7 linked regions of the Macaca fascicularis genome follow. The protein of the gene in region 1 purifies or fractionates together with the protein of each later gene. This does not show direct contact. Links are inferred from orthologs where the notes say so. Each region holds a gene or a part of one and is shown in the gene's direction. Other genes may lie near its edges.

Region 1 (4,255 bases):
GAAATGGAGGAAGGTTCTCTTTGCGCTTGCCTTCTCACACCCCCAGACTCCCCACATTTTGGTACCAGTTTCTCCTCATGAAATGTAGTCCCTGGATTCTGTGCCATCTGAACATGCTCTCCTGCTGGTGTGTATGTCACTAGGGCCGTGGGGAGACTTCTTAACTCTGTTGCTTCCCAAGGATGGCTGTTTATAATTTGGGGAGAGAGGGGGTGGGAGGCAGGGCAATGCAGGATCAAAATCCTCATCTTACTTTCCCGACCTTAATTAAGGATGTAGCTGCTGCTGGTCCTGTTCAAGTTGCTGGAGCAGGGGTCATGTGAGGCCAGGCCTGTAGCTCCTACCTGGGGCCTATTTCTACTTTTATTTTGTATTTCTGGTCTGTGAAAATGATTTAATAAAGGGAACTGACTTTGGAAACCATGTCTTTATGCTTTCTTTGTAGCCCTGGTTTGTTGCTCCTACTTTTACTGGTGGTGGTTACTGCCCTGGTCAGACTAGGCAGAGCCTGGCCAGCCGGGAAGCAAGTCTCGAGGCACATCCTGTTCTGTTCCCGGCTGGAGAAGCATTGGTTTTCACCCGCCTCTGCCCGGATGGGCCACCTGAGAATCTAGAAATGAGAGCTGATGTGATTAGGAAGTCTCTCCCGGTTACGCTCCATTAGCCAACCAAGCTAGGGGGAGGCAGCTCTTGGCCCCATCCTTACCTATGAGTCAAGGGTCTTCCAAGGCTTTAGATAATGAAATCAGGATTGACTGTCCTTCCCGCAGCCGGGGGAGTGGAAACGTGAGCCTGGAGAGTCGGGGAGGATGAGCGTGTGTGTAGGGTGGTGGTGGCTGCAGCCTGGTGGGGGGTGCAAGAAAAGTACGGAGTATATGTGCAGCTTTTGTTCTTACGGGAAGAAGGGGGGATACAAACTTCAGTGTAGGGAGGAACCCACGTCTGAGACGGGGCCTGAAAGGAGATAAAGGTCACTACTGAGGAAAGCAGAGCTGCCAGACTTCCTCACCGTGGCTCTAAATCTGAATTGACACAGGAGGGGTGGCCACGTTGCGCGCGTTCTCAGCACTCAGGTGGCTGTACCAGGAAGCCGCTCCAGTCCGCCGGCTGCTACCTTCTTGCCGGCGTAGCTCGATGGTACTGCACTCCGTGCAGGCGGCGGGGCCCGGGAGGGGCCGCCAAGGCAGTCTCTCTAGGCAGTCGTCTCGGTGTCCATTTTACCCGAGCGCCCCCGGCTGAATTGCGTCAGTTTCGCCCCGGTCTGAGCCTGGGGCGGGCCCCTCATCTGCAAGCCTCATGAATAATTGAGTACTGGGCCGCGCCTGTTTGCCGACGGTGGGACGAATTCTGCACGGGCTTCCAACTCCCGGGTTCCACCGGCTCATGCATATTCATGAAGCGCCCTGGGGGCGTGGGCCTGGGCGGAGCTAGGGGCGGGGCCCCGCCGGGGCTCACAGTGGCTTCGTCCCGCGGTGACGGCGGCGGCGGCGGTAGCAGCGGCGGCGGCGGCGGGGACTGGCGTCGGGGCGCCGAGCCGAGCGGAGCCGGATCCCGGGCGAGCGCGTGAGTGCGCGGGGGCGGGCGGGCGAAGGAGGGGGCGGGGTCCGGGATGGGGCGGGGGAGGGGCATGGAAGGAGTGGGCGCTTTCCAGCCGAGACCTCGGGTTGAGGTGGTGGTGGTGAGGGGGTCACCAGGAAAGTTTGCAGGGGCCGGGGGCGCTGGGGACGCTGGAGGCCCGGGGGAAGCTGGCGCGTGTGCGCGGGGGCGGAGGGCGCATGGTCTGGAGCTCGTGCTGGCGGAGCCAGAAGAAAGGGGGGAGGGGGCGAGGGCTTGGGGCGGGGCCGGGGGCGGGCAGAGCCGCTGGAGGGACCCCTGCCTCCCCTTCCCCTGGGCCGCGCTAGCCCCCTCCCCCGGCTCCTTCGGCACGCCCCCAGCCACCCCAGTCCGCCCCCACCTGATCGACGTCTGCAGCCCACCGTCTGTTCGCCGGCTGCTTCACAGCCCGCTCACAGGTCCTCCGCTTCTGCCGCCACCGCCGTCCCCTCCTCCTCCTCCATCCTCTTCTCCTCCTCCTCTTCGGCTGCCGCTGTCCCTTCTGTGTCCAGAGCTCCCCACTGGGCCCCTCCAGACAGCCCATTGCCCGGGGCTGTTCCATCTTCCCGTTGGCCCTCCCTCTTTCCACCAGTTTGCGTGCTGTCCCTGCCGACCTCTCTAGCCTTCGATCCGGCTGGAGATCTTGCGGTCCATAGGGGCGACCCCCCCTGCGCCGAGTCCCCTCCGGGGCTGGAGCTGCCCAGCCCTTCTGGAGGCCTTATCTGCCAGGGGTCAGTTCGTCTCTACCCCGCTACCCTCTACCTCCTGGTCTTTTGGGGGTGGGGAGTGCTCAGATCCGCTGCGATTTTGCAGCTTCTGGCCACAGCCTTGGTGGCCTTGCTCACCTGGGGCTCCTGGCTGGGGTCTCTGAGTTGCTGTGGCCACCTCCGCACCTGGGGACTCTGAGCCCGCCTTCATTGCTGCAGCCCCTCATACCGCAGAGGGGCCCATCAGAACCTCAGGTGAAAGGATTTTTTTGATTCTGAGCCAATTCATTTCCATGTCCAACCACCCACACTATGTCCCTAGTAATAATGTTCAAGGACAAGGAAACAATCTTGTGTTTTAATTTTATTTTTTCTATCATGTGCCCCTCCCCCCACCACACTTGGCCTGGCTCTGCACAGTTATTCACACACCCACAGTGGGCAGTCTTCCGTGGTGGTTGACTGACCAGTGGGTTGACAGTACTGGGTTTCTCTACTGTCTTCATACCCTTTCCCATCTTTGAAATCCCTGGGGCAGGGTTAGCGTTAGGGGAGAGGAGTTGGATTTGGCAGAGGTTGAGCACTGGAATTTGGTGCTGTCTTCCCAGACCAGCTGGAGTGGGTGGTTTTAAGTGAGGCAATGCCCCTTGCAGGTTGGAGAGGGTTGGGTTGTCCTCAGGGCTCTGCACACCGGGTGAGGGAAACTTCCCCCTTGCATGAGAGGTGCAGGGCCCTATTCCCCAGGGTCTCCATGTTTTTGTGGGTGGGAGAGTGCTTCAGGAGCCAGGATGGGAACTGAGGAGGTGGTGGAGTATCTGAAGAACAGGTGACAGCACTAGGGCCTGGGAGAGTGAAGGAATGGTCTGGGAATGCTGGTAGCCTGGGGTCACGGAAGAGGAGGAGGTGCTTATCAGGATATTAGCTCATTGGTGACACTGAATGGAATCACAGTAATCATAGGCAACATTTATTGAATCCTTATTATGTACTAATCATTGTGCTAAGCAGTTTTCATGTACTATATCACGTAAGCCCCCTCAGGGTCTCAATAATCCCATTTTTCAGTTGGAGACACTGAGGCTTAGAGAAGTCACACGGCTAGAAAGTGGTAGACCCATCCAGCCTTGAATCTTGGTATATCAGACCCTGAAGCTCCTGTGGCAGGCTTCTACCACAGGGCTGTGCCACTTGGTTTAATTTCTTCTGTTCCCCTCAGAACTCCTTAAAGCCAACCCAAGGCTGGTGAGTGAAGCCCACATAGCCCCTTTTCATAGGCTGTGGCTGTTCCGCCCTGACTCTCTTGGAAGGTGGAGCCCCAGGGAATTTTCCCCCAAGTCACTCCACCCCCCGGATATTCTCAAGCCCTGTCCCGTTCTCCCAGCCCAGGCCTGGGCCGGCTCCTCCTTCCTCTTGGCTAGGCTCTGGAAATCCAGTGGGAGGCCATTGCTATGGCAACAGGACTAGGCCCTGGCTTTACCTCATCAAATTCCAAGCTGAAGCCAAGCGATTGAGAAATTAAAGAAAAAAATATATTCCAGATGTTTACTTTTTATTCCTTATTTTTCCGTGTTTGGATGAGACAGCTCTGAGGGAGGGGAGAGTGGGGCAGGGATGTGGAGGGAGAACAGGGAGAGGGGGGAGAAGGAACCACTCCCAGCTTTGGGAGGGAGGGAGAGAGGGAAGGAGGGTGAGCAGGAAGGGGGAGGCAGGCAATGGGGCGGAGCCCAGGTTGGGGAGGAGCGGGTTTTTCCCGTCTCCCGTGAGGTGATTCACAGACTTCATACTTTGCAACTCTCTAGCTCTGCTTTGAGTAGACACCTCCAGCGGGGCCGTCCTACCCAGGGGGCACTCTGGGGACTGTAAGTGGGGTGTCTTGGAGAGTTTGTCAGAGGAGGGAGCAGTGAGTGACTCCCTGAAGCGCTAGGACTTTGGGGTTAGAAGATAAGAATGGGGAG
Region 2 (3,500 bases), on another chromosome or scaffold:
TAAATTTAGAAATGTCAAGACATCATGGGTTTGAAGGAAGAAATTTATGAAGTTGGTTCAATGCAGATAGTTTTGTAGCTTTTTGTATAAAATGCTTATTTCATATACATGGGAAAAAAAAATTGACTCAAGACCCTCTTTTTCTCTCCCTCTCTCTCTTTAAAAATCTGGTGTATTTAGCTCCTTGGTGAGTTGGAAAAAGACCCCAAACTTGTCTATCATATTGGCCTCACCCCAGCCAAACTTCCTGACCTTGTGGAAAACAACCCTTTAGTTGCTATAGAAATGTTGCTGAAATTAATGCAGTCAAGCCAGATCACTGAGTATTTCTCTGTCCTGGTCAATATGGACATGTCTTTACATTCAATGGAAGTTGTAAATCGGTAAGTTTCTAGATTTGATTAAATGTGTGGGGATAGATACAGATTAGATGGCCAGGAAGGAAAAATTGTAACAGATTTTTGTGTTGATATTATTGGCATAAGAGTAACTATTAAAGAAATAATCTAAGCCTTAGCATTCACTACATGTGAATTTAGCATGCGTTAATAAGAACTGAGGGTAGGATTTCAAACATATTTAGTGTTAGTAGAAGCATAAATGAAAACTGCTGAAATTTATTTTATTTATTTTTTTGAGAGGGAGTCTCACTCTGTTGCCCAAGCTAGAGTACAGTGGTGCAATCTTGGCTCACCGCAACCTCCACCCCCTGGGTTCAAGCAATTCTCCTGCCTTAGCCTCCCTAGTAGCTGGGATTACAGGTGTGTGTGCTACCACACCCGGCTAATTTTTGTACTTTAGTAGAGACGGGGTTTTGCCATGGTCAGGCTGCTTTCGAACTCCTGACCTCAAGTGATCTGCCCACCTCAGCCTCCCAAAGTGCAAGGATTACAGGCGTGAGCCACTGTGCCAGCCAATTACTGAAATTCATTTCCCTGTACATAGTCCTATCTTCTTTATCCCTGTACAAATACAGATATTTTTTTCTTAGTGACTAACAGCTGTAAGTGTGGAAAAATATGGACCTTAGGAGCTGAGAATCCTAGGAATGCCGTCCTAGCTTCCTCATGCTCTTCTCCCAGCCTTTCTGACTCCCCCGTCTCCTGACCCTGCCATCCTTGACTGTCAGGAAAATAGAACGTCCTCCCTTCTTGATGTGTGCTATACAGTGTTTGCATTTTATAGTATTTTCCTTACAAATATCTTTTAGGCAAATTGTGAATTAGATGGGCTGGAGGGCTTCAGTTGTTTATGTGCAGGATGGCCAGAGGTTCAGGTGTGCCTGAGTCCTGGTGGAGGCTTTGCATCTGAGCTCCCTTTCACGTGGTATCCTGCTTTGGATGATAAATTATATGGTCCTCCTATATGGGGAAATCCGTTCTGAGTGCCAAGCGACTAAACTTCAGTGACAGCATAGTTTTTTAACACCTGTTTGTAAGTTGGGGCTTTTTGAAAAATCTATGTGAAATTGAACTACAGAATGTGCCCTTTTTTTTTTTTATCAACTATTGGAGAAAAAAGCCCAGCTGGAAGCCGAGGGAGTGGAAGTATGTGCATAGAAGGAGTGCATTCTTTTAGGGGCAGGAGGGGGAGGAAGCGTGAGGTTTCCAGATTAATTTTTAACTTTAACCTTGGTCACCGGCAAAACCAGCTAGCTGCTTGTTGAAAATGTGTTGCTGCATTTCTCCCACTCCTTGTTCCAGTCTTTCCCCTACTGAGTGAAGACTCTTTTCAGTGGCCCAGTTCTGTGCAGGTTTGCCCGCACAGCGTGGATTGACCACGCTGAGTGTTCACTTCCCCTTCACCATATTCTTATAGCAGTTCTTGTCACTACCAGACATTTGGCCCTGAGTCCAAGATGCAGAATCACTGTATCTTTTTGTCAGTGCGATTCTATCTGCTCAGTATCTTGGAATTCAAGGATAGGGTCCTGTTTGTTTTCCCCCAACACCTATCACAGTGCATCATCCTTAAGCGTGAAAACATGTTTGTTGGTGACACACAAATCTCAAGTGACTGCAGCAGCTCATGACAGTGTCCTTGGAGCACTGCCTCCTCATGCCTTATTGAAAAAAGTTTTGAGGTCTGGTAAGTTTAGAAAAGGTAGCATATATTAATCTTCTTTTGGAAATTCATACCTTGAGTATGGAATTCCTGTTCCCAGCCCACTCATTTTTCTCCTTAAAGCATTCCATGTAATCCTTTGGAAAATACTGGCTTTGGCCTTCATTATGACTCTAAATTCCAATAACAGACCATGACTTATGATTTAACCAAGAATACTCAGGGGCAGGGCTCAAAAAAATAATTGCGGTATGTACAGTTAAGTAGAGACATTTTTAAAAAGTGTTATAATTTATGAGTAAGTAGGTGTGGCTCTTGGGTTTACTTGCCCAAGTATATTTAAAACAAGGGAATTGGATATATCAGATAATTCCACCAGATGACCGAAGCAATTTTTGTATTTTATGGTTAACAGTGTTTTTCGATGTTAGCAAATGAAATTAATGGCCCAAATTTTCTTTTATGAAACAGACTAACTACAGCTGTTGATCTACCTCCTGAGTTTATTCACCTTTATATATCAAATTGCATCTCTACTTGTGAACAAATTAAGGATAAATATATGCAGGTAATAGAAATTTCTGTAAATTTTATAATTGCCTGCCAGGAAAATGAGCACACTAACATTTGTTCTTTTTCCCCTTTTTCAGAATCGGTTGGTGCGTCTTGTGTGTGTGTTTCTCCAATCCTTGATCCGTAACAAAATTATTAATGTACAGGATTTGTTTATAGAAGTGCAGGCATTCTGTATTGAATTCAGTAGGATACGAGAAGCTGCTGGTCTTTTCCGGTTGTTGAAGACATTGGATACTGGGGAAACACCTTCTGAGACCAAAATGTCAAAATAATACCTCATCAGAACCATCCCATCCATTCACTGTTCAGCTGTACTGTGATTTAGTTTTTACACCGTTAAAACCCTGAGTGGATTGCTTGGTCTAATGCATATAAAACAGTACTTTATCTACTTAAAGCAAAGTTTTGCTTTCTTGGATGACTTTTTCCGTGAGATGAATTTTTGATAAGAACTGGGGAAAACGTGTCTTTTAGGTGTCTTGCTGTTGACTATCCACAGGAGGAATGGCTATCCCAAAAAAATAGATGAGTTTTTTTTTTTTTAAGCACTAAAGAACAAAATGTGTTTTTCATTAATACAGGCTTCTGATGAAACAGGAATCCAGTTTTCGTAAAGTTCCAATGTTGATAATGAGAGTAAATTCTTAAACGTTTGTGATACTGTCCTAGAGGTGAAAGCAGCTGAATGTTTCTGAACCATCAAGAGGCAAACAGGAGTTTGGTTCTTGAACCTGCTTATGCACAAAGCTCTTAACTCCTCATGAACCAAGGATTTACTTGTAACTTTCTCCTTGTCGTGGAGGCTTAATAGACAACAGAATAAATGCATTTCTTGGGCCTCTTATAAACTTGGGAACGCT
Region 3 (3,500 bases), on another chromosome or scaffold:
TTATAAAGCAAGATCTTACAAGGGGGGATCACATAGGTAGAAGCAGTCACCTGTCAATATTCTTTGCACTAGAAAGTAGTATAAAGACAGCATCGGCCAGGCGCAGTGGCTCACGCCTGTAATCCCAGCACTTTGGGAGGCCAAGACGGGCAGATGAGAAGGTCAGGACGTTGACACCGTCCTGGCTAACACGGTGAAACCCCGTCTCTACTAAAAATACAAAAAAAAAAAAAAAAAAAAAATTAGCTGGACATGGTGGCGGGCGCCTGTATTCCCAGCTACTCCGGAGGCTGAGGCAGGAGAATGGCGTGAACCCAGGAGGCGGAGCTTGCAGTGAGCCGAGATCGCACCACTGCACTCCAACCTGGGCGACACAGCGAGATTCCGTCTCAAAAAAAAAAAAAAAAAAAAAAAAACCCAGCATCACTGTAGGTCTGGTTAGAATGAGTTGTTTACCTGATACTGAGAAGTTTTCGGTTGACTTCGTTTTCTCAAGATGTGTTTCACACAGGGTCCTGATAAGCTTCAGGTTGTAGCTGCCTATCTCACAGGATTGTGACTCAGTGAAAACATGAAAAGACTGATGAGTATAAAGAACCACACATGTCAGAGATTGGTGCTCTTGTAATTGTATTCCTGCAAATACCTACTTTGCACTTAGAGCAGCAGATTTTTACTTTTTATAATTCTTAGAATCCTAGAATTTTCAAACTGAAAGAGATCTTAAAGGTAAATGAACTTTGCCATTTTTCCCATCCATGCAACTCAGCTTCTTTGAAGGATACTCCACTGCCTCACAGCACAGGGCGTTTCAAATAGCTAACAGTGTTTGCCAACGTCTTCTATTCTGCCTTGGCCTTTCCTGTTAGATCTTATCTGTCAGTCTTCCTTCTGCTCTTTGAGTCCGATCTTTTATGAGAGAATAGGAAAAAACACTTCCTTTAGGTTGTGATCATTCTTATCTACCATATCCTTTAGTTTGTCTTCATTTGGTATGGTTAAGATCTTTGACCATTTTATCTGCCGCCTTCAAACTGCAGAATTTGTCTGGTTTTCTTAAAATGGCTCTGTGGCATCCAGAATAATACACAACGCTTGTGTAGAATGGATAGGAACTTTGCTCCATGAAACCCTGCACTGTACTGTTGTTATTTGTACTTTTGTTTCTCATGTACATAAGAAACCCTTCTGAGAGGATTTGAGGCTCTTGTAGGTATATGTAAATCATTGTATTTGCTCTCATTTTGGTACAAAGCAGTTATTGAATTTACAGATGGCTCATGGCCCTGGGATTTTTTTCCCGCTCCTTAGTGAGTTAATTCTTAAGCCAAGTCAGCCCCATGTTGTTGCTTTATTCAGTATGACTTTAAAAGATCTAAGTGCAAGTGTATATTTGTCATTAGGATGTTTTGTTGTTAGCTTTGTGACATTGTAGAGTTTTGATTCTCTGATGCATTACGCTGGCTTTCATCCTTCCCTTCACTGTTTCCTCTGCCCACCCACTCCCCCAGTCACCTGGCTGCCCTGTTCCTGTTTTACTCGCTCTTGTTTGTTATGACCGTCTGTGTTATTGAAAATGTTGGCAAGGCAGGTCAGATACAGAGCGCTGCTAGAGCATTTCTGATTGACATCAGCCCATTAATATGTTTTGAATGTGTATATAAAACATGGTATGAATCATTTTTACTCTTATATCAAAAACTGAAAAAACATTTTCTGTAGTTTGACATCTTACTAGTAACTATAACATTGTTATAGATGATCTGATAATTTTGGTACATAATAAAATTTTGAAACATTTTAGTGCTTAGTTTCATTTTACTTTTTTAAAATTATTTCCAGGAAATCCCCTTACCCAGGATATATTGAACCTTTATCAGGAACCAGATGGAACAAGACGGCTGCTGAACTATTTGCTTGATAATTTGTCAGGTACTGCAAAAAGAAGTAAGTGGTTATTTGTTTAAACCTTTTTATTAGGAAGATGTGTAAGAATATTGCTTAATTCTGTATTTTCTATTCAACTAGTTACAACAGAACAACCACCTCCAAGGTCTTGGATTATGTTACAAGAACCAGATAGAACAAGGCCAACTGGTTGGTAGTCTTTTATTTTTTAACTGTTGTTTTTGCTCAGTCTCTATTATAAGCCTAACAGTATTGTCGGCATGCTTAGATTACAGGTAGCATTAAGATAGAATGTTTAAGGTTGATTTGGTTTGGGAGGTAATGAAAAAGAATTCTTGCTCACATGACCTCTATGTATATTACATTGTGCTATATAGAAAGTGTACTATAAAGCAGTGCTTTTCAAATGGGCCGTTTATCCCCCAGAGGGCATTTGGCAATGTCTGGAGACAACTTTGATGGTCATAACCGGGGAGAAGTGCTGCTGGCATCTAGTGGATGGAGGCCAGGGATGCTGCTCAGCATTCTGTAGTACATGGCACAGGCCCCCGCAACAGACTTCACCTAAATGTCAGTAGTGCCACTCTTGTTGAGAAACCCTTCTGTAATGTACTGATGAAATTCACTTAAAATGAATACACCCAAATCTTTCTCTGTTAGAAGTTTCCAAATCCTAGCATGTTCCAAATGGATTTGACACTACCAAGTTATAAGAGAGCTAAACCCTTACTTAAGAGGAAAGTGGAACTAATGACTGCTCATCTCCTTTTAACCTAAATTCTATGAAAATAGTTTGGGAGCTTTCATGGCGCGTGTAACAAAATTTGGTCTATGATACCGTTTTCATTTTGCATGAAATAATAATAGTTGTGCTGTAGAAGAAAATGAGGCATGCCTATTAAGGACTACCTATCCAGTTTCCATGTCATACATGAACAATTGGTAGCATGGTAGGAGTATAAAAATGAGGAATGTTAGACTCAGAGACCGAAGGGCTCACAAGCTTAGACTTTTTACTTCCAAACCTCTGTGCCTGCCTCTGTAGCAGGTAGTACATTGTATTCTAACTTGTTCACTTATCTATCCTGCTTGTGATATCCGTCTTTTATTTGTCCCCCATGTGTGGCATATGGTAGCTTTTCAGTGACTATAGATTGAATGAATACAGTCAAACTTAACATTTAAGTGAAAACCATTACTGAAATTAATTATATATTTTTTTTCTGCCACGTGTGTGAATAAGTAAAGTTATCTTTCCTACAGCCTTGTTTTCTGTCATGTGCTATAATGTTCTTTGTGATAAATATGCGACCCGGCAGTTATACGGCTACTGTCCATCATGGGCACTAAACTGGGACTACAGGAAAAAGGCCATTATTCAAGAAATCTTGAGCTGCAATGCTGATATCGTAAGTCTTCAGGTAAGTCAGACAGAAGAGAGTCGACCTAGCATTGATAAAGCAAGGAACAAACTAGGAATACATTACACTGACACATTTGAAGTTTCAGCTTCGGTAGTTCTTCAAGTACTGCTTTTTGCTGTTATCAGTGAATGCTGGGAGTACTGCCTGCCTTTCTTTGCAGTGCTGTGT
Region 4 (3,500 bases), on another chromosome or scaffold:
TGAGGAAACCAAATTGCCTCTGATTGAGAACTACTCAGTTAAACTCCAAGGGTTTCCACATTTTGCCACTTCTCATTTAATACATGGAAGGTTCATGAGAAAGAGTGGTTGTCATGTGAAAGTGGCATGAACGTAAAGGAGGGCCAGGCGTGTTTGGAAGCAATCAAATGCATTAAATGAAAAACTAAAATGTCAGAGATACAATATCCATGTGTATTTGCAGCCTCTCTTACCACTTTTTAGTCCTTGTAGTTTAGGTGTCATCTTGGGCCTGGGGTTTTACACTTCAGTATTTTGCCTTTTAGGTAGAGTGCGGAGCCTAAGTACATCACTTTGGTCATTGACACACTTGACAGCGCTGCACCTAAATGACAATTACCTTAGTCGCATTCCACCTGATATTGCCAAGCTTCATAATCTGGTTTACCTGGATCTGTCATCCAATAAACTCAGAAGTTTACCAGCAGAACTAGGAAACATGGTGTCTCTCAGGTGAGGAAGTAATACAGACATGACTCATTATATAAAATTCTAAATTTAAGAAAATTAGGGATGTTACTCAATTATAGTAGGATTTTGGTGTGTTATAACTATCAAATTATATAAACTGTCTAAGCATAGTGCTTGAGTTGGCCTCCGTTATTCATTTCTTTTCCTTTCTTTAAATTTGGAGGGTCCTGAATTAGAGTGTGCTTGTATTACCAGTTTCCTTGACAAACTTGAGGTGGGGTGAGGCTAAAATAGTAAGTCTCATTATCCAATGTGATAAGACTGATCAGAAATACTTGAAAAATGAAGTTTTGCTGATGAATACAACTGATAAGAACATAGCTCTATTATTTGAGTCAAAGTATATTTATATTTCATAATACAACTCCTTAAGGAAACCTTAAAACCTGATGAAATGGATTTATTTCTAATTTTTAGGGATTCTTTAAAAATTCCCTAAAGAAATCCTAAAAAAACTTTGTAGGAAATCTTAAGATCTTATCTAAATGTTTCCAGTGATTATCTGTTGAGTAATAATTTTTAAAAATTGCCGTCACATGTTTAAACTTAAACATTGTTTTAAAATCTTGTTCTTCACTTTCCTTTACTTGCTTTTTTTACTTTTGGTCATCCACTAATGAGGGTGCTATTTTTTTCCTATAGTCTGCTCAAAATTTCACAGTCATAAAGTTAGATCTTACTTATGCTATCCTATTCTTGTCTGTACTATCTATGCTTTATTTTAATATTTATGTTTCATGTCAGTAATTGTCGATCATAGTATTTTTTTCATCTTTTCACATTTTCTTTTGTCTTCTTTAATATACTTCACCTGTTTCTTATTAATCTTTTTATTAATTTTTTGGTTTGTTTTCTTAGTATTTTGATATGATTAGTATTCAGTTACTTAAGGTATAGGTGATTGGCTACTAATTACAGTTTATTCCTGAAGTTTGTGTAAAAATTTGTACTTTTTTCTATTGATTAGATGGGGTTCAAGGATATCTGTTGGTTAGATACTAAGGATATCTGTCACATTTGCATTTGACAGGCATTTTTGGTGAGAAAAAAGGGGGTAGATTTAGCCTGAGAATGATATGCAGTTCCTACACCTCCAACTTTAATGTGAGCTAGAGAATGAGTAAATCATAGAAATAGAAACATTGTTAATAGTAGTGGCAATTACACATTTCATAGTACTTTTATATTGTACAGTGTTTTTGGATGAGCACATAGAGATGTGCCTTGAATATAAACAATCACTTATAGTATGTTAGAAGGAGCGTTAATGGCAAATACAGATGTTAATAAAACTTAGTATATTAAACTAAATTTTTTTTTTTTTTTTTAAACAGGGAATTGCTTTTAAATAACAATCTGTTACGGGTTTTGCCTTATGAACTTGGTCGGCTCTTCCAGCTACAAACTCTAGGTTTGAAAGGTAAGTGACTTTTAAACAGTTTTCAGGTATTCTGATCCTTTGAAAGAGCATTTTGGTCTTTAAAAAGGTTAAGTTTTAGTATGATTTTGAGAATGTGACTACGTGTACTTTCTCTTGAAAGAAAAGTAGTTCTTTATGTATCAAATTGAACTTGAAGATTTCAATATGTGCCATCATTTTAACAAACTTGTAAGGGGAAAATTTTTTGGTTTTTATATCTTACCTTTAATTTTCTGTAAAACTGAAATTTCTTAGAAGAGATAATTTAAATTAACACTTTAAAAAAAAAAAAGTGAATACTAGGCCGGGTGTGATGGCTCACGCCTGTAATCCCAACACTTTGGGACGCCGAGGCGGGCGGATCATCTGAGGTCGGGAATTTGAGACCAGCCTGACCAACATGGAGAAACCTACTAAAGTCTCTACTAAAAATACAAAATTAGCCGGGTGTAGTGGTGCATGCCTGTAATCCCAGCTACTTGGGAGTCAGGAAAATCACTTGAACCCAGGAGGCGGAGGTTGCGGGGAGCCAAGATCGCGCCATTGCGTTCCAGCCTGGGCAACAAGAGCAAAACTTTGTCTCAAAAAAAAAAAAAGGGATTACTTTACATAATAATAGTCTAAACCTCAGCCAGAATGCCTCATGTTTAGCTTTTGACTAAATAAAATAGCATTGATGTGATTATAGGAGAGAAAACGTTATAATAGTAAAATTAGCTATACCTGTTAAGTAAATTATTCTAAGTAACGTGTGTTAGTCCAAAATACATACTTCTCTGACTATCTTTCTCATTCAATTTGGGATGAAAGGCACACTCAATTCATAGAAACATTGAAATTTGTATAGTTTTCTCTTATGGCATAGCATATGAGAGTTTATGAATTAATAGGACCAAGTACGAATATTCTATATTAAACATTTTCTTCTGTGCTCATGAGGAATAAACATCAGTCAAAGCCTTGTAAAGTATACACTTTCATAGATTTTATTTTCCTTCTTAAAAGACTATTTTAGTTTCCATGATAATGTTCTGCCTGCATTTGCTTATGTCATATAATGGATCATTAAGAATGAAGTTTGAATAAGAATAGAAAGAATGATGATATTATTGGTTGAAATAACATATGACAATTAGGTTTCCTTATTCAGTTTCATAAATTAGACAATTATATGAATGGTTTGAATCTTGTGTTTATAGTTTCTCTGTAAGATTTTATTGATTTTTTAAAATCACCTATAAAGTAGAGAGGGAGAATACTTATATCTAAAATATTTTCCTGAGGATTGAGGATTAACCCAAGGCATTTGAAATTGTACCGTTGAGACATTTCGCCTCATTTTCTTTATGCTCAATCTCATTATATAGTTGAGATAGCCATTCAGCTGGAGTTGGAGTAGGGGCAAGTCTATTCCTCACTAGTAGCTATTTTCTTCTTCCTGATATTGATAGAAAGCATATCAATGACAAATGAATAATTTACTTTTTTTTTTTTGAGATGGAGTTTCGCTTTGTTGCTCAGGCTGGAGTGCAATGGCACAATCTCGGCTCACCGCAACCTCCACCTCCCC
Region 5 (3,500 bases), on another chromosome or scaffold:
TTGTTATTTTGCTTTATCTTGAAAAGCCTAGGGAAAGTTTAACGCTCTGCTTGAAACTAGTGGTCTCCATCCTTTTGTAGTTCATAAGTGTGATGGTTGAGTTTTCACATGCATGTGAGATGTGCCTCCCTCAAACCTTGTTATGTTGGCACATTACCTGTCTGACATGGGAAAAAAATACTAGCCGTCTATTTTAATAGGTTAAAATTGGGAATGCTGTGAGAAGACAGATACTTTTCAAGAATATAAGTATAACTCTTATTTCCATCTTTCTTTTATCTTGTTTTTTGCTTTAGCTTTGTAAAATGTATTAGAGAGCCATTAAAAATGCAGAATTTCAAAAATCAAGCTTTGGACAAATAAACAGTAATATTAGGCATGTACTTTGATTATTTATGCATTCCTCTTTTAAAAATAACTACTCTGCGCCTGAGGCTCTGCTTTTATACTTGACTCATGCTCAACTCTCACTTCACCTTCTTCACATGTCAGATGCCTTCTGACATTTAATTATAGTTTCTCGTGACTTTGAGAGCCAAGAAAAAAATCATTTCCAAAATAGTGTATCAATGGAAAATTCTTTTGAATTACTGAAAGCTTCTGCCCAAACGATTAAAATTGTTGGCAGTTCACAATAATCAGATTGCTTCAAACTTTGGAATTAGCTGAGTGTGGTGGTGCGCACCTGTAGTCCCAGCTACTCAGGAAACAGATGGGAAAATCTCTTGAGCCTGGGTGTTTGAGGCCAGCCTGGCAACATAGTGAGACTATCTCAAAACAAACCAACTTTGGAATTGTCTAAGTAGAGGATCTTTTGGAGCTTAGGAGCAAAGAGGAAAAGGTAATTTCAGAGTTTAAGGAGCTTCCAAGATCTCCGTGGAGAGGAGTCCCTTCAGAAAGCTGGAAGGCATTATGTTAACACTGGATGTCTGGGGAGAAAGGGGAAAAGTACCGGGTACAGTTTTCACATTTCCTTTAACTATTCTGTGAACCACCTTTGTGTTTATTTACACATAATTCTTTTCTCTCTCTCCTTTTTTTAAAAAAAAAAAAAAAAAAAAACTTTTTAAAAAAACAGTGCATTTGCCCAGTATAACATGGATCAGTTCACGCCTGTGAAGATAGAAGGATATGAAGATCAGGTAATAATTGCCTTTTAGAAGGCTATGCCTGGGAGATAGTAGAAATCTTATTAATAGAAACCAAAGCAGATGTCTGAACCAGGTGCTGAGTAAATTTGTCTTAGTTTTTTTAGTTTTTGTACGTACTCTACATGTTATGATATTTTTCCTCTTTCTGATAACACTAGCAGTTTCTTTGACAAGAAAGGAGAGCAGCCTCTAACAAGAACAGTGAAAATGGAAGTATTTAAGTCGTACAGGTTTTCCAGCTGTCTTTAATTCTCCTTGATAAGAGTAACAGCAGACATATTTAATGGAAAAACAGAGGCACTCCTGAAATTTAGACTACTTATTTATTACTTTAGGATTTTGGTGGTTGGAAAATGGGGTGAGAAAACAGTTTACTTTATGTATTTTTTCATTTTTGAACCATGTGAATGTGTTACCTATTATAAATGCTAAGTGTAATGGCCCTAAAGTTTCATAATGACTCTGGAAAAAATCTGTGAAAAAAATACAAAAGTGTACATAAAAGTTATCACAGCTATGTATAAAATAACTATATAGATAATATATTAGAAACCAAGAAATGAAGTTTATTATTAATATGGGGGATATTTTGTAGTTTAAAGTTGACTTATTCATAAATGTAATATTCTTAATAATATGGGACTTGGTTGAAAAATTATGAAAGAGAAGTCTGACGAAATGAAAAGTTAACTGCCTCAGAATTTTTATTGATGTGTTTCACAAAAGGCAGTAAGAATTGTCTTTTTTACAAAGTTACTCATATGTTTAATCATTCTTTGGAAGGTCTTAATTACAGAGCACGGTGACCTGGGTAATAGCAGATTTTTAGATCCAAGAAACAAAATTTCCTTTAAATTTGACCACTTACGGAAAGAAGCAAGTGACCCTCAGCCAGAAGAAGTAGATGGAGGTCTGAAGTCTTGGAGAGAATCCTGTGACAGTGCTTTAAGAGCCTATGTGAAAGACCATTATTCCAACGGCTTCTGTACTGTTAAGTATCTGCTTCATTATCAAAGAGTGTTTTCTTATATTTACCTTATCCTTTGGAGACTTTGGCCTACCAAACATTCCTTCTTTCTTCTTAGTCATGCTCTCTTCTCCTCTGCATTTTATTCCCTAAATCATTTTGGAAAGGGGTATAAATAAATGGAAATTTTTATATGGAAAAGTTCTTTTTAAAATCCCAATGCGCCAGGCGCGGTGGCTCAAGCCTGTAATCCCAGCACTTTGGGAGGCCGAGACAGGCAGATCACGAGGTCAGGAGATCGAGACCATCCTGGCTAACATGGTGAAACCCCGTCTCTACTAAAAAATACAAAAAATCTAGCCGGGCGAGGTGGCGGGCACCTGTAGTCCCAGCTACTCGGGAGGCTGAGGCAGGAGAATGGCGTGAACCCGGGAGGCGGAGCTTGCAGTGAGCTGAGATCCGGCCACTGCACTCCAGCCTGGGCGACAGAGCGAGACTCTGTCTCAAAAAAAAAAAAAAAATCCCAATGCACAAAAAATTTAGATATCGGTGTATTCTGTTTTCACATTTGACTTATGAGAAATGCCTTACACCCATCAGGAAAAGGTCTTTTGTTTTTTTTTTCTTTCTTTTTTAAAATTAACCTTTTAAATTAATTTTTTTCTTGTTTGTATTTTTACCCAGATCTAAAAGGTCTTTGGTTTGGACACAGAGAAAAAATGGTATACTAAGATTGTTTAGAGAGCTATTGCTCATATTTATGACTTTTTGATATAGGCATTTTTACACAAAGCTACTTCTACATAGTTTAAATATTTATATTAGGTAATCAAAACTATTAGAACTAAACAATTGGCTGGGTACGGTGGCTCATGCCTGTAATCCCAGCACTTTGGGAGGCCAAGGTGGGCAGATCACTTGAGGCCAGGAGTTCGAGACCAGCCTGGCCAACATGGTGAAACTTTGTCTCTACTTAAAACATACAAAAAGTAATTGGATGTGGTGGTGCACACCTGTAGTCTCAGCTACTCAGGATGCTGAGGCACAAGAATCACTTGAACAAGGGAGGTGGAGGTTGCAGTGAGCTGAGACCACCCCACTACACTCCAGCCTGGGCAACAGAGTGAGACTGTCTCAAAAAAACAAAAAACAAAAAAACCAAACGATTTTTTAAAAATCAGGAATGATTTTCTTTTTGTTGTTGTTGTTTTGTTTTTTGAGACAAAGTCTCACTCTGTCACCCAGGCTAGAATGCAGGGGCACCTTGTCGGCTCACTGTAACCTCCGTCTCCTGGGTTCAAGCAATTCTTCTGCCTCAGCCTCCTGAGTAGCTGGGATTACAAGTGCCCACCAACACACCTGGCTAATTTTTATATTTTTAG
Region 6 (4,143 bases), on another chromosome or scaffold:
TTTGTAAGAAAAGGTGAATTTTTAAAAGAAACAACCAAGTGAAGTAGAAATTTTATTTACTTCAAATTAATTACTCAAATAGAAAAGGACAATTTTTCACATTATGAAGCTACACAATTCCAAAACACACATGCAGAGGCTCTTAAGAACGAAATGTCTAGTAATTACAAAAAAAGTGAAGAGTTTACAGACATACAAAGAAATAAAGGGGTATTATTGCAAAGAAAAGTTTAATTTCACTTTGAACGACAACGATTTTTCTGGAAAGCAGATACTTCACTCCTTTAAGTTTCCACCCAAGCCACAATAATTTCAAATGGTCTTGCGGATGACCCAGCTGGTCACTCTTGTTTATGTGGAGACTGGGGGGAATGAGAGTCAGAAAAAGTGCTATAAACCTAATTTGGCTAGAGCAAGTTCACACGACACGACCGTGCTTTAAAAACTTGCTCTCCATTATGTACTTCCTTCCACCAGGTTGGGGGGGGAAAAAAAAAAAAAGGTGAGGATGGTGAGTAAATACACCAGTGGTTTCATCAGAGGGGAACTCACTACTCAGAAGGTGACGGTGACGTGGTGCCGGTCCCTGAAGTACGCGCACAAGCTCCGGAGGTTGCGGGAGCTAAGGGAGGAAACGGGGACACGGTTAAATTCGCCCAGGTGGCGGGAATGAGGAGGGGAGGAGTGAGGAGGCGGACGTGCGGGGGCGGGGTGTCCAACACAAACACAAACACGAACACGCTCAGCATCCCCGGGGAGGGCGGACTGAAGCCACCTCACCATTCATCGCCCCTGGACCCTGCGGTCCCCCTCGGACTTAGGGCCAGAGCCCTCTGCGAAGCAACCTGGCCCCAGGAAAACGGTAGCGGCCGCAGAAGCCCCGCTCTCTGTAACGGCCGCGGAGGAGCAGCAAGCCTCCCTGTGAGTCGATGGGAGACAAGACGGAGCAGCGGTAAGGGCGGTAGGGGAGTGAAGCGCCTCTCTCCACCTTGTTAGAAGCGCGCTGGAAGCAGCCTACCCACCCCATCGCTGCTGCTTTGCAGTCGCCGCTCCCACCTTCCGCCGCCACCCGGAGGGAAGCCGGAGCGACGGGGGTCACGGCGGCGGTCAGAGGGTAAAGGTCTTGCTCCCAGCAGCCTCCGCGGTGGATACGTCGCCATCTTGGATCCGCGGGACAAGAAAATTCATGCGGTGAGTTTTTGGCAAATTTTCGGAAGTCTGGCAGCGGGGCGCGCGGCGGGGGCGGCGGATTCGGGGCCCCCGCAAGGCGGGGGAATGCCCCGGGGCCGGTCCGGCCGCGCCCGGGGTCCGCCGGTAGCGTCCCGGCCCGCCGCTTCCCGTTGCTTTTGTCTCGGCTCCAATCGAGAGAGGGAGAGCGGAGCGGGCGGGGAGGGGGGGTGGCGGCGGTGGAGGGAGGGAGGGGGTGTGTATGGGGGTGGTGGTGGACGGGACGTAAAGCGTCGCTGTACTCGGGCCGCTGCAGCAGCAGCTCCACATCCTAGGCCCGGTCCCATCCGCGAGTGGCGGGGCTTCCCCAGACTCCACTCCCCTAGGCTCCCGCCAGCGCGGAGGAGCCGCTACCGCCGCGCTGCTTCCTGGGGGAGAAGAGAAGGCGGCTGCGGCCGTGGCTGAGGAGCTCGAGCCCGCTTTAGACGGCTCTGCCGCCTTCCCAGCAGCTGGTGCTGTCTCTGGCTCCTTACATTCTCAATACACGTATATCATCTGCCAGTTATGTGTATTTCTGTTAGTGTGTGTGTAAGTGTCAGATGGGAGACACTGGACTGGCTAACGGGTGTCAGGAGCCTGCAGGCCCTGGGATACCGAAGGCTGTGCATGGTGGAGGGAGAAGGAATGCAACTGCGATGCTGCCTCTGCCACCGCACCAGGAAGGTGAAGCTTCCGTAGTGTCGTAGACTGAGTCCGGATGGTCCTGGGGCGGCGGAGGAACCACAGATGCTTCTGTCTGTGAAGTTACAAGCCCTGGTTTTCTACTTCCGCAGGGGCCTCTCCACCTTTTGCTGTTGTAGGTCTCACTTAAAAGTTTCACAGAAGAAAAGAGTAGGGTTAAAAGAGGCCTTTGTAGTTCTTAATTGAGGCACTGTTGTCTGTCCGGGAGAAAGCTGATGACTCTTGGTGACTGTGGTCCTTAGCAAAAGTGAATTGTAGTTTTCTTTTATACAAAGTATTTCCAAGGTTTTAGACTTTATATTTATTCCAGGCCTGTAGGTACGGTATTACCACCACAAAAGTCTTACATAAGGGTACCACCCTCTCAGAAGGAACCTAAACAACTTCCTTCGAATCCTTGGAGACATCTTCACTTTTCAACATCCGGAAGACTGAGTGCAACATATTTTGTTTCATTTTCATAAAACTCTTGGTCAGAGAATCCCACTCCTTTTAAAATCGTTTGGGCAGTTCTTCGTAATTAAGTACACTGATTTGAACCCTTAGATTCTTGGCGAAATGGTAAAAAGTACTCAAAGTCAGTTCACGAGGGAAGCCAACTTAAATTTAAGGTTCCAAAGTTGAACATACTTCATGCTTGATATTAGGAATTTTTAGAGCTCGGAATCATAAGTGTGACTCTTGATTTCCCTTTTGAAGCAAGATAAGTGGAAAGAATAAAGTATGGGGTGAGGGATGAGATAGAAATTTTAAAGTATCCATTTACATACAAGGTTTATGTTGAGTTTGGGAATGCTTGGCATAATTGACAACAGTTCTTTCCAAACGTCAATGAATATGTCTCTTATAATTTTGTAAGATTGCGAATTGAAAGGGTTAAGAATCATAGTGGGCTGAAATGGTTAAGTGTCTATATTCAGAGCCCAGTTCATTGAAATGTTTTATAATGGACCAAGATAATTAGTAAGCTCTGTATGTTGAATTTGTTTAGTTTGTAGTTCTTTTATAATGTTAAATCTAAAGAAAAAGAAATACAAAATACACTTAAAGACAAAACATGTTCCACTCTACTCACTTATTTCTTGACTTTGTAAGATCCTTATTGTAGAAAAGGTATCTTTCTCTCATATTTTCTGAGAGCTTGAATTGTAATAACTTTTGTGAATACTTTGTATTTTAGAGAGGAAGTGAGAAACTCTGCTAAAGTTTTTTTTTTTGTATCTGAATTAGTACTTCATCAATACAAATAAGTTAATGTAAACATTTGTTGGCAGGAATCTTTTTTTAAGTATACAATGTAGAGATATCTGTAACCTAATCTGATCTCAGGGAATGAGAATTGCCTGTTTGTTTAACCAAGCAACACATACAGCCTATACAATTTTTCAGTTTCTATAATACTTTAATTTATATGGTGGAAAAGGAGGGCAAAATGCTTGTGTGTGAGTGATTTATATCCCCAAGTACCTGATCTTGAAGATAAAACTCAGAATGTGGCTTATCTTATGATGCTGGGCAAAAAACAAAAACAAAAAAATTCAGAATGATACAACTTCCCATATACCTCCCTACAAGGACTAATTACCTTTGTTTTTCCTTTATAACTTTGGGTGTTGCACTTTTTGATTTTTCAGAGATGCTTTACAGTTATTATAACCTGAAAATTATTTGTTCAAAAGTAAATAAAATTTTCAGGTGTATGAATAGATTTTATTAGAAGTGCTTCTAACCCAGTTCTCATTTGTATTCCTTTAGTAGATACTGGTATTAAAAGTACCTATATTTTGAAAGACCATTACAGAATTTTTTACAACCTGTATAAGTTATAGTTTTATGTTTTCTAGTGACAGACTTCATAAGATTTTCTGATAATGTAAATAGAATGTATGCTTCACATGTATATGTGAAATAATGAGTAAGCATTAATAGACTAGTGAAAAACACTTAGCTTACAATTTATTTTTTTGCTCTTTAAAAGCAATGTTAAACAATAGCTGTTTTTTTGTTGTTAAAATTTGTTAAAATTTTCCTGAGATTTTAGGAAAATATACAACCAAACATTTATGATGTTATTTGTTACCTGGGTCTGTAGGGGATTTTGTAACACAAAGAGGCAAAAGATCCAAGGTACCAGGTAGGGCAGTTTAGGGGCAGAGTTAATATGAGGTGTACTGTAATGTTTGAGTGGAATTATATACAGTGTTAATCAAGGGATCTAGTGCTATGGTAGAACTT
Region 7 (4,150 bases), on another chromosome or scaffold:
GCCCGGCCCCAACTGTTCAATATATGTTTGTTTAATGAGTACAAAAATGAGCTTCTTGAGAACAGAAGTTTCTCTTTTTATTTCAATAGTTTTGGAGTACAGGTGGATTTTTGGTTACATGGGTAAGTCCTTCAGTGGTAATTTCTGAGATTTTAGTGCACCCATCACCTGAGCAGTGTACCCTGTACCCAATATGTAGTAATTTATCCCCTCCCCAGTCCCCAAAGTCCATTTTATCATTCTTATGCCTTTGCACACTAACAGCTTAGCTCCCACTTATAAGTGAGAACATAAAATATTTGGTTTCCCATTCCTGAGTTACTTCACTTAGAATAATGGCCTCCAGCTCCTTCCAAGTTGCTGCAAAAGGCATTATTTCGTTCCTTTTTATGGCTGAGTAGTATTCCATGATGTATATACCCACATTTGCTCTATCCACTCATTGGTTGATGGACACTTAGGTTGGTTCCATTTCTCTGTAATTGCGAATTGTGGTGCTATGAACAGGCGTGTCTAGCTTGTTTTTTTCTCCCTCAACACTATAGCCCCAGAGACTAACACAGTGCCCCGCACCCCGTTAAAGGACCAGAAAATATTTGTTGGATGAATAAAGGAATATATAAAGAGCAATCTTTCAATTATGGAGCGGGTCGTGTGTGTGTATTTTAATGAAAGCCGACTATTTAATTTTTTGTTTGTTTGTTTGTTTTTTGTTTTTTGTTTTTTTTTTGAGACAGAGTCTCGCTCTGCCGCCCAGGCTAGAGTGCAGTGGCGTGATCTTGGCTCACTGCAAGCTCCGCCTCCCGGGTTCACGCCATTCTCCTGCCTCAGCCTCCCGAGTAGCTGGGACTACAGGCGCCCGCCACCTCGCCCGGCTAGTTTTTTTGTATTTTTTAGTAGAGACGGGGTTTCACCGTGTCAGCCAGGATGGTCTCGATCTCCTGACCTCGTGATCCGCCCGTCTCGGCCTCCCAAAGTGCTGGGATTACAGGCTTGAGCCACCGCGCCCGGCTATTTAATATTTTTTTAAAAACAATGTTTAAAAAGCTTCTATTTGTCCACCTTTTCAGATTTTAGCTGGCAGAGTTCAAGACTTGATAGAAACATAACGAAGGGCTCAGAATGTACTCATCGCAGACTGAGCCCATATGGTCACTGTGGGGAGAGAACGTTACACTCACGATGCTAGCAAGCCTGCTGCAGGCGGCCCCGGGAGACAACGTCCCCCGCCCGGCCACCAGGCACCCGCGCACGCGCACAGCCGCGCTCAGTCCCCGAGGGCCGGGTCGAGGGAGGCGGGGCTCTCGGGGCGCGTGCGCGGCGACCTGAGCGGCGGGCCCCTCCCTTAGCGGGGGCGCGCGGCGCTGAGGACCGCACGGAAGCGGGGAAGTCAGGTGGCCGCTGCCGCCGCCGCCGCCGCGGTTTGTCGCCAGAAGGAAGATGGCGGATCTGGAGGAGCAGTTGTCTGATGAAGAGAAGGTAAGAGTCGTGGGGGTGGCGGCGCCGGCCGTCGGGAGCCGGCTCAGCCCGGGCGGGTGGGCCCAGAGTCTGGTCGCGGGGGATGGGCATTGGCTCGCAGCTGGCGGTGCCCTCGTCTGCCCTTCTTCCCCCATCCTTGCTGCGCCGAGTGCCTGCCCCTGTCCGTCACCCGAGGCCCCGCGCGGGGGCAGGTCTTTGCCAGGCCTGCTCGCTCCGCTCCTTGTAGGGTGTGTACTCCGAAAATAGGAAGCGGGAGCCGGGCGACGGCGGGCGGGGGCGCGGGCGCGGGGGAGGGCGGCGGCTGCCCGGGACTCTCTCCTGCTATCCGGCCGCGGAGCCTGCGCCGGGGGCCGGGGACCGGGGACGCAAAGGGGTCTGCGTCCGTGCCTGGGAGCGGCCCAAGGGCAGTGCCCAGCGCGGCGGCCTGGCCTGTGAGTGTAGCGGCGGGTGAGGGGGAAGGGAAAAATCGCTTAGGAAGCAGACCTTCACTTCTCCCTTCTACTTCCCCCTCCCCAAAACAAAACGCTTCCTTTTCTGATTCTCTACGGTTTATCCCTTTTTTTTCCCTTTCCCTATGGAGGCCTCTCTCTCTCCCTCTCTCTTTCGTTTCATGGCTCTAGCAGTAAGCTTTGCAGCTCCCATGTTCCCCGGGAGGCAGCGGAGTTGCTCACAAAAAGACGACCCCCTCCCCATAGTTGTTTTCTGCCCACGTTGTCAGCATTCTCCCCGGGGGTCGATTTGGTGTCACGTCACCTTCCTGCTAGGACTTCTTCCGAGAGGGGAAATTGTTCTACTCCTTTTACTGTATGTCAGATGCTGTGACAGCAGTGGAACCAGATGAACTACTTAAGTTCTCAGATATTTAAAAGGAGCAATGGAATAATTCATTGAACTGCTGCTCTCTTAATTCGCCCCTTTCGTTTGGCTTTCGTGAACGTCCCATTCCTGAGGGTGGTGGGATAGGGGAGAACCCTGCTAATTTTGACTGTTTCTCGGAAAGGACACTGACGTTTCTCAAACTTAGAAGTAACTGACAGAACATACGAGTGAGTTAGTTGTAGGGTTGGAAATGTCCACTCTTCGTTAAAGAGTGCTCCATTTTTAAATTTCAAAGCAGTACAGCCAATGGAGGAAAATACAGGTACATTTAGGTACGTTGTGGTGTTTAAGAAATCCTCGTGTAAGTCTAAGAATATTTTCATTTGGGACCCTCTGCTCTAGGTGTTTTTATATGCTGTGTTCTTGCACCGAAATAGAAGGTTCTGTCCCATTCCCAATGTGAATGGTCAGAAGTCAGCCTCATCTTTATTTTCGGAAATCTGTCTTTCTCTTGTGTTGTTTGGTGAAAGTGATAATACAACAACAAAATGGGGGCGAGCAACGTCTCCATAACCCACAGACCCAGTAGGCAGATCCCTGTATCCACAAAAGTTGCTATACAGTATTGAATGTATAATCTTGGTAAATAACCCTAAGTAGGTGACTGAAAATGTACAGGAGTGCACAAACGCATATTTAAAATTGAGTCGTGCTAAAAAGCTTAAAAAGAGATTGTCGTGTTTTTATTCTACCATTCTTAAGTGGTGATTAGTAGCTCAAGTGGCTAGAAATCTAGCTGAAGAGAGAATACTCAGTGTGGGAGTTAATAAGACCTGCCATGTGTTGTAAAGGCCTAAAATTAAAAAGTTTTTTAAAAATGAGATAACAAGATGCCTTATTATCCGGCACTCTCAGGGCACTAAGCTTCATAAAGAGGAATGAGGAGGTTCTATGTCTTAAAGCCTGCGCCGCCTAGTAGCAAAATGTTTTATGGTTAAATGAATGAAAATTCTAATTTGATTTTTGGTGTTTTGTAAGAATATTATGTAGATATTTTACATATAAATTTCATCACTATATTTACTAATTTAAAAACTGAGAAAACTTTTAGGTTAAATTCAAGTAACCAGTTAAGTGAAATTTTAACGTTCTTGTCAATTGAGATATCTAAAGGTTGTTTTCATTTTGGGGCAGGAGGATGTGTCCAGTATGGGATCAGAAAACAGAGAGGACTTAAAAGTGATATTTTGATATTACTCTTTCTACGCCTTATTGGTAATTTTCAAAAATAAGCTGTCAAGCTGGGCATGGTGGTTTGCACCTGTAATGCCAGCTACTCTGGATGCCAAGGTATGGAGGATTGCTTGAGCCCAGGAGTTGTAGACCAGCCTGGGCAACAAAGCGAGACCTCATCTCTAAAAAAAAAATACTAAGTTTTGAATACTTTTAAGTTTTTGAGATTTCCATTCTAGATTGCAAATCTGAGGAAGGGAAGCTGTTAAGATGTATCTAGTACTGTACTTTATATATGCTTGGCTCAGTTAGATCCATTCATTACTTAATTTGTTGTTGTAAGAGGTAGTTGTTCTATTTCCATTTCACAGATGAGTAGAGTGAGGTTCAAAAGCTTTAAGTAGTTCACCCAAGGACAGTCAAGATGAAGGTCTTGTTACATTATGCTCTCTTCTTTTTTTTTTTTGAGACAGAGTCCCCCTCTGTTGCCCAGCCTGGAGTGCAGTGGTGCAATCTCGGCTCACTGCAACCTGTGCCTCCTGGGCTCAAGCGATTCTCCTGACTCAGCCTGCTGAGTAGCTGGGATTACAGGCACGTGCTACCATGCCCAGCTAATTTT

What was found.
Region 2: the proteins of TNKS1BP1 (region 1) and CNOT11 purify together in Homo sapiens (affinity purification with mass spectrometry; 5 studies listed by BioGRID and IntAct, counting the BioPlex papers as one, with this or other methods). This does not show direct contact. The link is inferred for Macaca fascicularis from reciprocal best matches to the Homo sapiens genes TNKS1BP1 and CNOT11.
Region 3: the proteins of TNKS1BP1 (region 1) and CNOT6 purify together in Homo sapiens (affinity purification with mass spectrometry; 3 studies listed by BioGRID and IntAct, with this or other methods). This does not show direct contact. The link is inferred for Macaca fascicularis from reciprocal best matches to the Homo sapiens genes TNKS1BP1 and CNOT6.
Region 4: the proteins of TNKS1BP1 (region 1) and CNOT6L purify together in Homo sapiens (affinity purification with mass spectrometry; 4 studies listed by BioGRID and IntAct, with this or other methods). This does not show direct contact. The link is inferred for Macaca fascicularis from reciprocal best matches to the Homo sapiens genes TNKS1BP1 and CNOT6L.
Region 5: the proteins of TNKS1BP1 (region 1) and CAPZA1 purify together in Homo sapiens (affinity purification with mass spectrometry; 3 studies listed by BioGRID and IntAct, with this or other methods). This does not show direct contact. The link is inferred for Macaca fascicularis from reciprocal best matches to the Homo sapiens genes TNKS1BP1 and CAPZA1.
Region 6: the proteins of TNKS1BP1 (region 1) and CNOT2 purify together in Homo sapiens (affinity purification with mass spectrometry; 5 studies listed by BioGRID and IntAct, with this or other methods). This does not show direct contact. The link is inferred for Macaca fascicularis from reciprocal best matches to the Homo sapiens genes TNKS1BP1 and CNOT2.
Region 7: the proteins of TNKS1BP1 (region 1) and CAPZA2 purify together in Homo sapiens (affinity purification with mass spectrometry; 4 studies listed by BioGRID and IntAct, counting the BioPlex papers as one, with this or other methods). This does not show direct contact. The link is inferred for Macaca fascicularis from reciprocal best matches to the Homo sapiens genes TNKS1BP1 and CAPZA2.

Annotation. Positions count from the first base shown.
Region 1 is NC_088388.1:16,292,291-16,296,545, forward strand, and holds the start of TNKS1BP1 (182 kDa tankyrase-1-binding protein), read left to right. Parts: upstream 1-1,455; 5' UTR 1,456-1,563; intron 1,564-4,070; exon of another isoform or gene 4,071-4,159; intron 4,160-4,255. Other genes in the region: FACT complex subunit SSRP1, read left to right, coding at 1-1.
Region 2 is NC_088387.1:5,748,237-5,751,736, forward strand, and holds part of CNOT11 (CCR4-NOT transcription complex subunit 11), read left to right. Parts: intron 1-180; coding exon 181-383; intron 384-2,535; coding exon 2,536-2,632; intron 2,633-2,714; coding exon 2,715-2,912; 3' UTR 2,913-3,500. UniProt on the Homo sapiens protein: Component of the CCR4-NOT complex which is one of the major cellular mRNA deadenylases and is linked to various cellular processes including bulk mRNA degradation, miRNA-mediated repression, translational repression during translational initiation and general transcription regulation.
Region 3 is NC_088380.1:187,471,733-187,475,232, forward strand, and holds part of CNOT6 (CCR4-NOT transcription complex subunit 6), read left to right. Parts: intron 1-1,842; coding exon 1,843-1,947; intron 1,948-2,028; coding exon 2,029-2,097; intron 2,098-3,171; coding exon 3,172-3,329; intron 3,330-3,500. UniProt on the Homo sapiens protein: Poly(A) nuclease with 3'-5' RNase activity.
Region 4 is NC_088379.1:56,098,752-56,102,251, forward strand, and holds part of CNOT6L (CCR4-NOT transcription complex subunit 6-like), read left to right. Parts: intron 1-305; coding exon 306-492; intron 493-1,844; coding exon 1,845-1,930; intron 1,931-3,500. UniProt on the Homo sapiens protein: Has 3'-5' poly(A) exoribonuclease activity for synthetic poly(A) RNA substrate.
Region 5 is NC_088375.1:121,725,056-121,728,555, reverse strand, and holds part of CAPZA1 (F-actin-capping protein subunit alpha-1), read left to right. Parts: intron 1-68; exon of another isoform or gene 69-167; intron 168-1,078; coding exon 1,079-1,142; intron 1,143-1,934; coding exon 1,935-2,141; intron 2,142-3,500. UniProt on the Homo sapiens protein: F-actin-capping proteins bind in a Ca(2+)-independent manner to the fast growing ends of actin filaments (barbed end) thereby blocking the exchange of subunits at these ends.
Region 6 is NC_088385.1:76,975,271-76,979,413, forward strand, and holds the start of CNOT2 (CCR4-NOT transcription complex subunit 2), read left to right. Parts: upstream 1-1,498; 5' UTR 1,499-1,581; coding exon of another isoform or gene 1,582-1,703; 5' UTR 1,704-1,821; coding exon of another isoform or gene 1,822-2,033; intron 2,034-4,143. Other genes in the region: uncharacterized protein, read right to left, coding at 553-622, 989-1,498, 1,582-1,703, 1,822-2,033. UniProt on the Homo sapiens protein: Component of the CCR4-NOT complex which is one of the major cellular mRNA deadenylases and is linked to various cellular processes including bulk mRNA degradation, miRNA-mediated repression, translational repression during translational initiation and general transcription regulation.
Region 7 is NC_088377.1:158,309,228-158,313,377, forward strand, and holds the start of CAPZA2 (F-actin-capping protein subunit alpha-2), read left to right. Parts: upstream 1-1,350; 5' UTR 1,351-1,440; coding exon 1,441-1,479; intron 1,480-4,150. UniProt on the Homo sapiens protein: F-actin-capping proteins bind in a Ca(2+)-independent manner to the fast growing ends of actin filaments (barbed end) thereby blocking the exchange of subunits at these ends.